3 linked regions of the Macaca fascicularis genome follow. The protein of the gene in region 3 interacts with the protein of the main gene of each other region in a biochemical or structural test. Links are inferred from orthologs where the notes say so. Each region holds a gene or a part of one and is shown on either strand. Other genes may lie near its edges.

Evidence for each region. The genes of interacting proteins can lie anywhere in the genome.
Region 1: the proteins of BMPR2 (region 3) and GDF2 form a complex in vitro, tested with the Homo sapiens proteins (2 studies listed by BioGRID). The link is inferred for Macaca fascicularis from reciprocal best matches to the Homo sapiens genes BMPR2 and GDF2.
Region 2: the proteins of BMPR2 (region 3) and GDF5 form a complex in vitro, tested with the Homo sapiens proteins (2 studies listed by BioGRID and IntAct, with this or other methods). The link is inferred for Macaca fascicularis from reciprocal best matches to the Homo sapiens genes BMPR2 and GDF5.

The regions. Positions count from the first base shown.
Region 1 is NC_088383.1:56,913,907-56,918,520, reverse strand, and holds the start of GDF2 (growth/differentiation factor 2), read left to right. Parts: upstream 1-1,521; 5' UTR 1,522-1,736; coding exon 1,737-2,082; intron 2,083-3,919; coding exon 3,920-4,614. UniProt on the Homo sapiens protein: Potent circulating inhibitor of angiogenesis. Signals through the type I activin receptor ACVRL1 but not other Alks. Signaling through SMAD1 in endothelial cells requires TGF-beta coreceptor endoglin/ENG.
Region 2 is NC_088384.1:91,491,525-91,496,006, reverse strand, and holds the start of GDF5 (growth/differentiation factor 5), read left to right. Parts: upstream 1-1,389; 5' UTR 1,390-1,741; coding exon 1,742-2,366; intron 2,367-4,482. UniProt on the Homo sapiens protein: Growth factor involved in bone and cartilage formation. During cartilage development regulates differentiation of chondrogenic tissue through two pathways.
Region 3 is NC_088386.1:98,234,542-98,238,903, forward strand, and holds the start of BMPR2 (bone morphogenetic protein receptor type-2), read left to right. Parts: upstream 1-1,445; 5' UTR 1,446-2,722; coding exon 2,723-2,798; intron 2,799-4,362. UniProt on the Homo sapiens protein: On ligand binding, forms a receptor complex consisting of two type II and two type I transmembrane serine/threonine kinases.

The sequences.
Region 1 (4,614 bases), on a different chromosome or scaffold from region 3:
CATCCAGGCCCCTAGGCTATTCATACTCTGCTCAGCCTCTCATGTGTGAAAAGCTCCTGGTCAGACCACGATGCAGGCATCTGCCCTGTCCTCACTCCTCCCAGACCACACCCCACTCTGCATTTGCAGCTCCATTTCTTGGGCATGGCACCCATTTATTCATCTTTTCTCTGCCCCATGGAATTCTTGCGCTGAGCTGGATCAAAGCCCAGCGCACTTCCAGTCCTCTTCCCAAGCAGCATTTCTGAAGCAGCACGCTTCCCGTCTTCCCCTGGCCCATGTCATCAAAGGACAGAGATAGCAAGTTCTGTCCAGGCCCAGCCATTCAGGGGCTCCTGATTTCACCCATCCTCCTCTGCAATCTGACCACAGCATGCTGTGGCCCCTCCTGCACCCCACTAAACCTGCTCAGCTCTCTGCAACCTCTCCCCGACAGCCTCACCAGCATGGAGCATCTTCCCCAGAGTAAACCACCAGGCACAGCATACCCTGGAGTATTTCTAACCATGCTCCTTCTTTGCTGTACTCAAAGCCACACATGATGGAAATGGACAGAGTCTTAAGTGTGGACACACTGCTCTTAACACAGTCCCTAGGGCCCTTTCCTGGGCCACAGCTTGTCAGCCTCCAAAGGCCAGGGGATCATCTTCTTGGCATGTACCAGTCTCAGAACAACTCACCTACTCCCCTGTCTACCAGATTGCGTGGTTCTCCCTGCTGATGAGTGTGGGCCAGGTGGCTGCCAAGTCAATGTGAGCTAAGACCACCCCACAACAGGCCAGTGCCAGAGCTGGGATGCAGGGATGTGGGGAGCTCCCTGCAGGCTGCAGTGTGTTGTGGAGCTCTGACAGAGCAGGCTGGGGGAACCCGGGGCTCCAGCTCAATCAGGTGTGGGCTGGAGAAGGGGCATCCAGAATGCTGCCACCAAGCCAGCCTGGGGCACAGCATCCTCTTAACCCCTACAACTATCTTCTGAATGGGAGGCTCGTAGAGTGCGGTGACTTGTTCCAGGTGACATTTGCAGGGAATCGGTGAGGGAGCTGAGATCCCAGCCTCTGTCTAGTCTGACTTATCACCACACTAAATTGCACGAGAGCCATATTCACTCGTGATCTCTAATGCTCAGCAATGCATCCCACCAACAGAGCAGGGAGCCTTGCTCGCAGGTTCCGACTCTGTAAGGAGCAGGCCTCTTCTGAGCCTTGATGTGGTCCCCACACTCTCCCCATCTCCCCAGCCCCCACAGTTCACTGTGCTCTTGCGCTGTCCTTTCTATATTTGGAGGGCTTCTTGGTCTTGTTTCCTGGATTCTTCACTACTGTGGCCCAGGAGATGGAGCATATGTCACCCTGCCTGGAGATTCTTCTGAAGACCCCTGGCAAGGAAATGAGAAAGGATCCTAATTAGGGGGCAATAACCCCCTGGAGAAGCACAGATTCCTTACAGTAGGCCGTGTCCTTCCCACATGCCCTGTGTGTTTGTCAGATGTTTATAGAGCCTTCATTAACGGAAGGCTCCCTCAGATAAGACGTCGGAGCGCGGCATCGAGGACCAGATAAGCACAAGTGGAGGACAATCCAGCCCGGCAGCGGGCGAAAGTGGGCGCTGGCCAGGACGGTTCCTTCAGAGCAAACAGCAGGGAGATGCCGACCCGCTCCTTCCCGGCTCCTCCCCGTGCCCGCTAACACAGTACGGCCGCCTGCAGTCTCCTCTCTGGGTGATTGCGTGGGCCCAAGATGTGTCCTGGGGCACTATGGGTGGCCCTGCCCCTGCTGTCCCTGCTGGCCGGCTCCCTGCAGGGGAAGCCACTGCAGAGCTGGGGGCGAGGGTCTGCTGGGGGAACTGCCCACAACCCACTGGGGGTGCCTGGAGGTGAGCTGCCGGAGCACACTTTCAACCTGAAGATGTTTCTGGAGAACATGAAGGTGGATTTCTTGCGCAGCCTTAACCTGAGCGGGGTCCCTTCGCAGGACAAAACCAGGGTGGAGCCACCGCAGTACATGATCGATCTGTACAACAGGTACACGTCTGATAAGTCGACTACGCCAGCGTCCAACATCGTGCGGAGCTTCAGCATGGAAGGTAGGGTCTCCGCTTGCACCGGATGCGCTGGGGTAGGACTCACAGGTCCACAGCTGCTTTCACCAGGGTGGAGGCCGCTGGTCATAGGAGGCTCTTCAAGCTTCCATTTAAATTAGTTACAATGAAATAAAATTAAAACTTAGTTCTTTAGCCTCACCAGCTTCCTTTCAAATGTGTGGCTAATGGCTTCCCTATCAGGCAGTGCAGACTGCAGAACATTTCCATGGTCACTGAGAGTTCTACTCGGCGCTTCTGCTCTGAAGGATTCACCTTCCCCAGGCTGTGTGCCACATTTCACACAGCATGTGCACAGGGATGCCAGCTCCCTTTTTTCCACCCCTTCTGTTTACTCTCCTCTTCTTTCCATCTCTCCCCTCTGATTCACTTCTCTTCCTTTTCCCCTTCCCTTCCTGTCCCCTTCCTACTTCAAAACAAAACAGACAACCTATTTCACCTCCAACTAACTGGTATATTTTTAAACTTTGAAAGCACAGTTATTCCTTTCTTGTGAAAGGGTTTTAAAAATCAGATGAAATTCTTTGACAGAGAAGTGTTGAAAGAGAACCTAATTGTTTTTAAATAGAAATGTATCTGATTTAGAAGGACTAGAAGATAACAAACACGGACCTAGGACCTATGTCCTAACTCAGTCAAGCTCACATGATGCAGGGGGAAATAAGTTTCTGAACAGTGAAACTGTTCAGTCAAAACTTGCAGCCACCAAGGGTTCCCACCCATGTCACCTAGGAAGTGTTAAGCCGCTGGATTCTGACCCAGGCCTGTCCGTCTGCACAGCCGGCTTTTCCTGCTGCTGCCGTCTCCCTCTGAATGTCCAGGAGCACAGAGCCTCTCCCCTCCTGGGTCTGAGACTTGCAAATGGCTTAGGGGCCTGGCTCCATACCGCATCCAGGCCAGAGCTAACCAGTCTGCAGAGGCAGGACTGGCACTTCAAAACCTGCCAGCTAGGTTTCCCTATAGCACCGGGTCTCCACACATGTGGGCGCATAGCAAGTGCCCAGAAAATGCAACCTCTTTTCCCTGTCTGTGAACCAGCCGTGGTATAGCAGGAGTGTGCTAACGACAAAGTGTCAGCCCAGGATAAATGGGATATTGAGTTAACTATGTGGCTAAAAGGCAAGCCCCATTTTTGCTTGACATGACAAAGCAATTGAAGCTAATAGATTTTTTTCCTGAAACACTAAAACCAATTAATCACTTATGCTTTGTTCAGAAATTACAATTTCAAATGATGCATACACTGTTTAGAGGCTGAGATTTTTGATATTGTCTTAATATTGGGATTTCACTGTCCCTACCCAGGATCTTGCCTTTAAATTCGTGTACTCAGGATCTTCACTCAGGATCTGACAGTGAGTTTTGCTGTTTTCTTTATGTACTCACTAGCTGTGTGCTAGTAAGTCCCAGGATACTTAACTAGCTGCGTGCATTTTGGCAATTAACTGCCTTGAATCCCAGTCTCCACATCTGCAAATGTGGAATAATAATTAGATCCTCCCAGGGTGAGTGCGAGGATTAAGGTGAAATTTACACTGCAAAGCTCCCAGTGTAATGCCTGGCACACAGTAGATGCTCAATAAACAGTAGGAACTGTCAATCCCAATTAGAGGCATCTCCTGCCTTTGCTTTTCTTTGGAAGATCTTAAGTATACCTTTGAAAATACTCTTATACCTTAAGGGCTTGGGTGAAACCAAATAGAGATAATACAGACCAAAACTGTTATCCCAGATGCTCTTCTGTCTAAACCCTGAGACTCAGCTTCAGTGTCATGGAAACAGACCCTTCGGCAGATGCCCACCAGGTGTGTTTGCATTTCAGATGCCATCTCCATGACTGCCACGGAGGACTTCCCCTTCCAGAAGCACATCTTGCTCTTCAACATCTCCATTCCCAGGCACGAGCAGATCACCAGAGCTGAGCTCCGACTCTATGTCTCCTGTCAAAATCACATGGACCACTCTCACGACCTGAAAGGAAGCATGGTCATTTATGATGTTCTGGATGGAACAGATGCCTGGGATAGTGCTGCGGAGACCAAGACCTTCCTGGTGTCCCAGGACATTCGGGATGAGGGCTGGGAGACCTTGGAAGTGTCCAGCGCCGTGAAGCGTTGGGTCCGGTCCGACTCCACCAAGAGCAAAAATAAGCTGGAAGTGACTGTGGAGAGCCACAGGAAGGGCTGTGACAAGCTGGACATCAGTGTCCCCCCAGGTTCCAGAAACCTGCCCTTCTTTGTCGTCTTCTCCAATGACCACAGCAGTGGGACCAAGGAGACCAGGCTGGAGCTGAGGGAGATGATCAGCCATGAGCAAGAGAGTGTGCTCAAGAAGCTGTCCAAGGAGGGCTCCACAGAGGCAGGTGAGAGCAGCCACGAGGAGGACGCAGATGGCCACGTGGCTGTGGGGTCGACTTTAGCCAGGCGGAAAAGGAGCACCGGGGCTGGCAGCCACTGTCAGAAGACCTCCCTGCGGGTAAACTTCGAGGACATCGGCTGGAACAGCTGGATCATTGCG
Region 2 (4,482 bases), on a different chromosome or scaffold from region 3:
TGACCCTGGGGTAAGTTGCCCAGGGGCTCTATCGCACAGGTCCCCCAGAGGAAGGGAGCTTCCATACTTCAATGGGTTTTCATTTAGAATACTCGAGTTCAGCTGGAATTCAGAACTTCCAGACTTACCAGAAAAGCATCATGTGGGAAATTGTGCCGGGCGCAGTGGCTCACGCCTATAATCTCAGCGCTCTAGGAGACCGAGGCAGCTGGATCACGATGTCAGGAGATGGAGACCATCCTGGCTAACACGGTGAAACCCCGTCTGTGCTACAAACATAAAAAATCAGCCGGGCGTGGTGGCGGGGGCCTGTAGTCCCAGCTACTCGGGAGGCTGAGTCGGGAGAACGGCGTGAACCTGGGAGGCGGAGCTTGCAGGGAGCCGAGATCGCGCCACTGCACTCCAGCCTGGGCTACACAGCGAGACTCCGTAGAAAAAAAGAAAAAAGAAAAAAGAAAAGCATCATGTGGGAAATGGCTTTTCCAGCCTCCTGTAGGGGCCGCTGCTGCCCCAGACTCAGCCAGTCTCTTCTAAGAAAACTCGGAGGACGTCTTTGCCGGGGTGGAGGTGGGGTACACCCTGGACCTGCCGCCATCCAAGGAGTGGACTTAAGGGCGGCAGTGCCCCCAAGCCTGAAGAATATGCACTCAGTCAATGGCATTTGGTGGTAGGGAGGGGGTGTAGTGGGCACAGATATTTTTCAGTCTCTGGGTCACCACAAGTTTATTAAAATAAAAGAAAATGTGGGTAAATGCTGCCATCTGTGCTGTCCCTACTCCCAATACACACACACACACACACACACACACACACACACAGAGGCACACACACACAGACACACATAAACACACACATACAACAAATCAGGTCCCAGGCTAGATGCAGGAGTTGAAACTGCTTTAAAAACACTCTAAGGACTTAACTACAAACCCACACTCCCCATGCTTCTGGGGCTTAAGATCTTTGAGCTCATTCTTCAGCATCTCTCCTTGGGAAGGTGGGGTGGGCTGCTCCATGAGGTGGAGGTGAAGACCCCTGAGTCTGCTCCATGGAGGGGGAGGCCCCCTAAGCCTAGAGTCCCGCTGCGGGGCTCTGTGCCAAGAGCCCCCGTGAGCCATGGCCTCGAAAGGGCAGCGGTGATTTTTTTCACATAAATATATCGCACTTAAATGAGTTTAGACAGCATGACATCAGAGAGTAATTAAATTGGTTTGGGTTGGAATTCCGTTTCCAATTCCTGAGTTCAGGTTTGTAAAAGATTTTTCTGAGCACCTGCAGGCCTGTGTGTGTGTGTGTGTGTGTGTGTGTGTGAAGTATTTTCACTGGAAAGGATTCAAAACTAGGGGGAAAAAAAAACTGGAGCACACAGGCAGCATTACGCCATTCTTCCTTCTTGGAAAAATCCCTCAGCCTTATACAAGCCTCCTTCAAGCCCTCAGTCAGTTGTGCAGGAGAAAGGGGGCGGTCGGCTTTCTCCTTTCAAGAACAAGTTATTTTCAGCTGCTGACTGGAGACGGTGCACGTCTGGATACGAGAGCATTTCCACTATGGGACTGGATACAAACACACACCCGGCAGACTTCAAGAGTCTCAGACTGAGGAGAAAGCCTTTCCTTCTGCTGCTACTGCTGCTGCCGCTGCTTTTGAAAGTCCACTCCTTTCATGGTTTTTCCTGCCAAACCAGAGGCACCTTCGCTGCTGCCGCTGTTCTCTTTGGTGTCATTCAGCGGCTGGCCAGAGGATGAGACTCCCCAAACTCCTCACTTTCTTGCTTTGGTACCTGGCTTGGCTGGACCTGGAATTCATCTGCACTGTGTTGGGTGCCCCTGACTGGGGCCAGAAAGCCCAGGGGACCAGGCCAGGATTGGCCAAAGCAGAGGCCAAGGAGAGGCCCCCCCTGGCCCGGAACGTCTTCAGGCCAGGGGGTCACAGCTATGGTGGGGGGGCCGCCAATGCCAGGGCAAAGGGAGGCACCGGGCACACAGGAGGCCTGACACAGCCCAAAAAGGATGAACCCAAAAAGCTGCCCCCCAGACCGGGTGGCCCTGAACCCAAGCCAGGACACCCTCCCCAAACAAGGCAGGCTACAGCCCGGACTGTGACCCCAAAAGGACAGCTTCCCGGGGGCAAGGTACCCCCAAAAGCAGGATCTGTCCCCAGCTCCTTCCTGCTGAAGAAGGCCAGGGAGCCCGGGTCCCCGCGAGAGCCCAAGGAGCCGTTCCGCCCGCCCCCCATCACACCCCACGAGTACATGCTCTCGCTGTACAGGACGCTGTCCGATGCTGACAGAAAGGGAGGCAACAGCAGCGTGAAGTTGGAGGCTGGCCTGGCCAACACCATCACCAGCTTTATTGACAAAGGGCAAGGTGAGGGGGCGGGGTGGCAGGGGCACGGCTCAGAGGGAGGGGCATCTGCATGAATGGAGGGGCTTTCAAAGCCCTGGCACTGCCCTGGTGGGAGACACTGTGTGCATCTGGCCCGGGGTGGGTGTATGGGGACGCTCACACATATCTCACACATAGCAGATCCCGAGCTGCCCACACATCAGGGCTGGAGGGCACCTAGGAATCACCAGGTTCAATGCCTGCAAGGTGCAGGGCGGGCACTAAAGCCTAGAGAGGAGACAACACCTGCCAGTTGGTGGCAGAGTTGGAGACCGGATTCCAAGACTTGATTCCCCAGCTGTGCATCTGTCCCTGCTGGGCTGGCCGAACTTTCCACGCTCCAGGGGTTTGTAGGTGGTCTCAGATGGCAGAGAAAGAAATGAATCTTGAGGTCCCCGTGGTTCTGCAACTTTGCCCTCAGGCAAGGGGATAGAGGAGGCAAGAGAGGTGCTCACAGTAAATGGGGCATCTTGGAGTCATGGAATGATGTTCGAATATATGGGGAGGGAGCAGACCTAGGGTCTAACTCGCAGTGTGACCTTGGGAAAGCCCCTTCTCACTTGGGGTCTCTGTTTTCCCATCTGTACACCTATATGGGGTTGGACAGGGTGGTTTCTGAGAGCGCTTCCGACATGAAAACTTTAGGTCCTGTCCTGAACACGCCTCATTCTCCTTACATTAACTCGGGAGACCTCTCTCTGCTCCCCTCTGTCTCTCTCTGCCCACCTAGTGTTACTGTTGCAGCTTTTCCTCTCCACTTGCTGTGTGATCTAAGCAAGTCCCTCCCGCTCTGAGGGCCTCAGTTTCTTCCTAGTGTGAAGAGGGAGGTGGGCTGTTGGTCGCTCAAGTTGCCTGCAGCTCATTTGCTCTGGTCCTAGGCTGGCAGGGTGGGGGAGGGGTCAGAGGGTGGGAGAGGTTTCTCATTAGAGCTGGCCTGGAGGGGGCTGCCGGGGCGGGGGGTGGGGGGGTGGGAGAGGCACAGAGGCAGCAGGTCTGGCTGAGGTGGGGGAGGTGGTCTGGCTGCCTGCCCAGCCAGGGAAAGCTGTGACCCCTTGGGGGCTCATAAAATAAGTCCTTGTGCCCCCCAGCACTAAGGGAGCTTCGAGAGGGGGAGATGGGGAGTTTAAAGGCCTAATTAGTCACCTTCTAGAGCAATATATGAAAGCTCCCCAATGGCAAATTGGTATTCAGGAAGGAGGGCATGCTGATTCAGAGATACTACTGAGCTTCTCACATAAACATACATAGCCTTATGTTTATACAGACGTGCTGAATCACACATGTACACGCATGCTGACTCACACACGTACACACATGCTGAACCACACATGTACACACATGCCGAATCACACATGTACACGCATGCCGAATCACACACGTACGCATGTGCACACACACCTTCTTACATACACGTGTACACAAGATCGATTATGCACATACATACATATATGTGCTCTTCAAATAGTACACAAGCCCAATCATTTATACATATAATGCATCATTAACGTATACTCTTTCATATTCACACATGAACCCAACATTAACGTATACTCTTTCATATTCACACATGAACCTAATCACACACACACATACAACTGTAACACACGCACACACTCAGGAGAGTAAGACACATAGGCAACAAAATCCTTGCACTGGGAAGCCAGGAAAATTGGGCTGTAGGTCAGTGTGGACCAGCTTTGACATTAAGTTGCTGTGTGACCTTAGTCAAGTCACTCCCCATCTCTGTGCCTCATCTGTAAAACAAGAGCACTAAGGTCTCCTTTAAGGGATGGTGGAAGCAACTGAGAATTTGAGCAAGTCATCTAACTTCTCTGAACCTTGGGATTCTCCTCCAGAAAAGCATGGGTTTTTTTTGTTGTTGTTGTTTATTTGTTTTGTTGTTGTTTGTTTGTTTGTTTTTTAGCCAGGGTCTCTCTCTGTTGCCCAGGCTGGAGTGCAGTAGTGAATTCATGGCTCACTGAAGCCTCGACCTCCCTGGGGTCAGTCAATCCTCCCACCTCAGCCTCCTGAGTAGCTGGGACTACATGTGCACGCCACCATGCCTGGTTAGTTTTTGTATCTTTTTGTAGAGACAGAG
Region 3 (4,362 bases):
AGTCCGTCTCAATAAATAAATAAATAATACCTAAATAAATAAAGCTAATGAATCAAAGCATATGCTCTTCGTCTTTTTAAGGGATTTTACTAGGTAGATTTTTTTTTCTCTGTCTAAAGGGTAAACAGTATAAACATATTTCAACTAAAAAGAGTCTTAGAATCCGGAGTTGGTATTGCTACAACCCCTAATTATGGAAGATGTTTAGTATAACAGAACCAGTTTAAGGAATGTGGAGATTTATTTACATCAAATTCAGATAAAGAGAGAATAGCAGACTCGAAGAAGCAAGCAGAGCATGACTTAAGGAGTCTATGACTGTATCTGTGGAACTGCCCTTAGCCTCAATAAAAGATCAGCAAAACCAGCCTTCAGCATAACCCTCCTGCCTGGTGGGAGATGGGAAGGCCAGACTTCACCCCTCAAGATCGCCCTCCCACGCGCATTTTCCACCTCGCAGCTAAGAATTCAGTCCAGACTTCCGATCATGGCGCCACGCACGTCACCTTCTCCCCTCGCCGCCGGCAAAATCCCACCCACGTCGGCTGACCCCGCAGCGGGGTGTAAGGGCGGGAGGGATGCTGGTCGCTTGTACAAACCAGATCGAAAAAACGCACTACACAAATCCTTGGAAACTGCGGTACCAACGGGATCTTCTCAATTACTTGAGTGCAAAATGATCCCACTCTCTATCCTGACATAACTCTAGCTCAATTTTCTTTTCACGTGCCCTAAAAAGCCCTCAAGGCCCCCAGCCTTGTGAATCCAGGCCCTCTCTCGGGGTGGACACCGCGCTGTACGGACAGACGCGCGCACACAGCGGGATGATTTATAGATTAAAAGTCTTTTTCTCTCTCTCTCTCTGGCTTCGCATCCTTGCAAATACTCAATATTCCTGTCAACTAAGAAGGCTAAGGGAATGGGCGGTTGAGGAAAGCAGGACGTCGATTACAGCAAACACATCAAAGGGGGAGGGGGTCTTTCCAATTCCGGCTTTTGTTTGAGTCAGAGGGGAGCCTGAGGAGGCCAAGGTCTCCGGTTCTGGGAAAGGCGGGTCCATCCGGATTCTTTGGGCTGCGGAGAGGGAGGCTCCAGCGCCGTGAAACAACAGAGGGCAGTTCTGCCCCTCGAGGCTTTCCTCCGAGAGTACTGAGAAGGAGACGCCTCAGTCGGGAGAAATCCCGGAATCGGAGGAGTCTGCTAAACGCCTAACAAAAAGATGTGGCCGCCCTCTCTTAAACAAATACGCGAATCCCAAGCCTTGCACGTTTGGAAGTCATGTGTGTGTAAAGGAGAAAGGCCACCGCTGCCCACCGCGGCCCCACCCAGCCCTCGGCCATTCAAGGGACAGACGCGCCGCGCTGGGGCCTCGGAGCCCTCAACCAGCCCGGGACGAGGGGCGGGGCCGGGCGGGGTCGTGAGCGCGCAGGCGCAGTGCGGGCTTCATCCTGCCGCCGGCGCCGCCGCCGCCGCCCGCGCTGCACCACAGGCCAGAGACAGACAGGGCCGGGAAGAGCCGTAGACTGAGGAGGAGGCGGAGGCGGCGGCGGAGGCGGGGCGACTCCGGTGACCGGGAGCGCCGCAGACTCGCAGCTGCGGCGACTCCCCCCTTTGTGTCTGGTCTGCTCGGAGCCACTGGAAGTGCTTCCCGGAGGGACGCAGGGTGTCTCGCCGCCTCACTGCCCACTCCCTTCCCCGGCTACCTTCATCCGCCCTCCCGCCGCCCCCCGCCCTCGGTCCGCGACGCCCGAGCTCCTCCCGGAGCCCAGAGCTGCGGGAGAACGAGGCGGTGGCGGCGGCGGCGGCGGCGGCGGCTTCCTCGGGGGGTTGTGATTCGCTCACAGGAGCCATTGACGGGAGAAGACGAGGCTTTCATGGTGGAATTTACCTCAGGCAAGATGGAGCGGCAGGAATAAAAAGCGAGGAAGGGAAGGGAGCGCCGCCAGAGGGCTAGGAGGGGCAGCCTCTCGCACCCCGTCCGCCCGCGGTCTCGGGGAGCCCGGGCCGGGGCCGCGACCCCTCCCCTCCCCCGCTCCTACGTTTCCTCAGCCTTCGCCAGGGCCTCCCCGACCCTCTCACGGTTGTTCCGCGAAGGCGTGGGGACTGTGAGCTTGTCATGGAGGCAGGCACCTTTTTGGATCCAGTCAAGGAAGAGGATTTGTTGTTTTCGAAATCAGAGTGAAGGAAGCACCGAAGCGAAACTTAAGGAATCCTGCCTTCCCGGAGCCGCGGGCGATGCGACTCGGGCTGCCGGGCGCCGCCGCCGCCCGCCCGGCTTCGTCCTTCCCGACAGTCAGGAACTAGTTCTGACCCTCGCCCCCCGGATCCGGATCGAATCCCCGCCCTCCGCACCCTGGATATGTTTTCTCCCAGACCTGGATATTTTTTTGATATCGTGAAACTACGAGGGAAATAACTTGGGAGATTTCTTCTTGGCTCCCTGCTTTCCCCACAGACATGCCTTCAGTTTGGAGGGCCGCGGCACCCCGTCCGAGGCGAAGGAACACCCCCAGCCGCAGGGGAGAGAAATGAAGGGAATTTCTGCAGCGGCATGAAAGCTCTGCAGCTAGGTCCTCTCATCTGCCATTTGTCCTTTCAAACTGCATTGTGATACGGGCAGGATCAGTCCACGGGAGAGAAGACGAGCCTCCCGGCTGATTCTCCGCCTCTCTACTTCCCATATTTCTTTTCTTTGCCCTCCTGCTTCTTGGCTGGCCCAGGGATGACTTCCTCGCTGCAGCGGCCCTGGCGGGTGCCCTGGCTACCATGGACCATCCTGCTGGTCAGCACTGCGGCCGGTGAGTAGCTCCGGCCGGCGCGTCCCGGCCACTTCCCCTGCGGGTGGCGAGGGAGGGAGCCCGCAGAGGCCGAGGCCTGTGCTCGCCCTTCGTCACGCGTCCCTCCGATCGCGGAGCTGCGAACCGGTGCCGGCGCGCCTGCCCCATGCCTTCCAGGGAAATCGCCTTTAATATTCCTGTGTATTTTCCTATCCCCACTTCCATATTCCCACCCCACCCCCCTTCACGGGGTGAAAAAGACATATTGGGTGTGGTATCTTGACATTTTTAGCTGTGAGGTAATGCAACGATTAAAAATAATATTTTAATCACCAGTGAAGGGTCTATTATGAGGTCTCTGAAAACAGACCTGTAGATTTTTAAAATTATTATTATAAAGAAGCGGTTTTGGCTTACAGTAAAAAGAACATCAACTAGAGAACACACACTTGAACCTTATTTTGAGATTTAGATCACTCTGGAATCCATGTTCCTTTCATTATTCAGAAATTTTACCGAATGAATAGAATAAATGTTGAGGAAGCCGGAACTGTGAGATTCTTGATATATTGTATTATACGGTTTGATAAGTTTACTGTTAGTCACCTGGCATCTCTCTGTTGGCTTTGCTGTCGAGACAACTTTGACCTGACATTAGACTTCTAGGAGATTTGACTCCGAAAGTTCTTTGACATTTCATTAAAGTCTAAAGGGTGGTAGTCATCCTTTCTTTTGGATATTTTCATTTCAGTTCTCAGAAACCTTAGGAAAAAGACTACATCTTCTATTTGCAACTATTTTTTCAAGCAGTCTTTTGGTGATTTGCTTTTAGAAATTTTGAGAAGTGAATTCTACATGTAACTCGTACACTTGGTTTATGATGGGCAAATGGATTGTGCTTTTAAAACGAGTAAAGGACCAAATTACCCTTTCGAATTACTTTTTTCTTTTGATAAGTGTGTTTCACATTAAACAAATTTCTCATTGCTATGTTAGATACAGAGGTTATTTGCTTAATTTGGTTTTAAAAGTCTGACCTAGGAAAATGCCGAAAGAAAATTTGAAGTTTCCTTTTATGCTTTTGATATTGTTGAATAATGTCTACTGTTGATTAATGTCTGTTAAATTGATGATAAATCTATATGGTTCTGTTAAAATAATTTGAACTTCTGAATTTACTTTAAAACTGATATTTTAATATTTTTAATAATTGTAGTTGCTTTCAGAGTAAAAATGATTTTTCTCCAAATTTCTTTTTTTTTTTTTTTTGAGACGGAGTCTTGCTCTGTCACCCAGGCTGGAGTGCAGTGGCCGGATCTCAGCTCACTGCAAGCTCCGCCTCCCGGGTTCACGCCATTCTCCTGCCTCAGCCTCCCGAGTAGCTGGGACTACAGGCGCCCGCCACCGCGCCCGGCTAGTTTTTTGTATTTTTTAGTAGAGACGGGGTTTCACCGTGTTAGCCAAGATGGTCTCGATCTCCTGACCTCGTGATCCGCCCGTCTCGGCCTCCCAAAGTGCTGGGATTACAGGCTTGAGCCACTGCGCCCGGCCCAAATTTCTTTATATTGTGTTAGCTATTTAAATT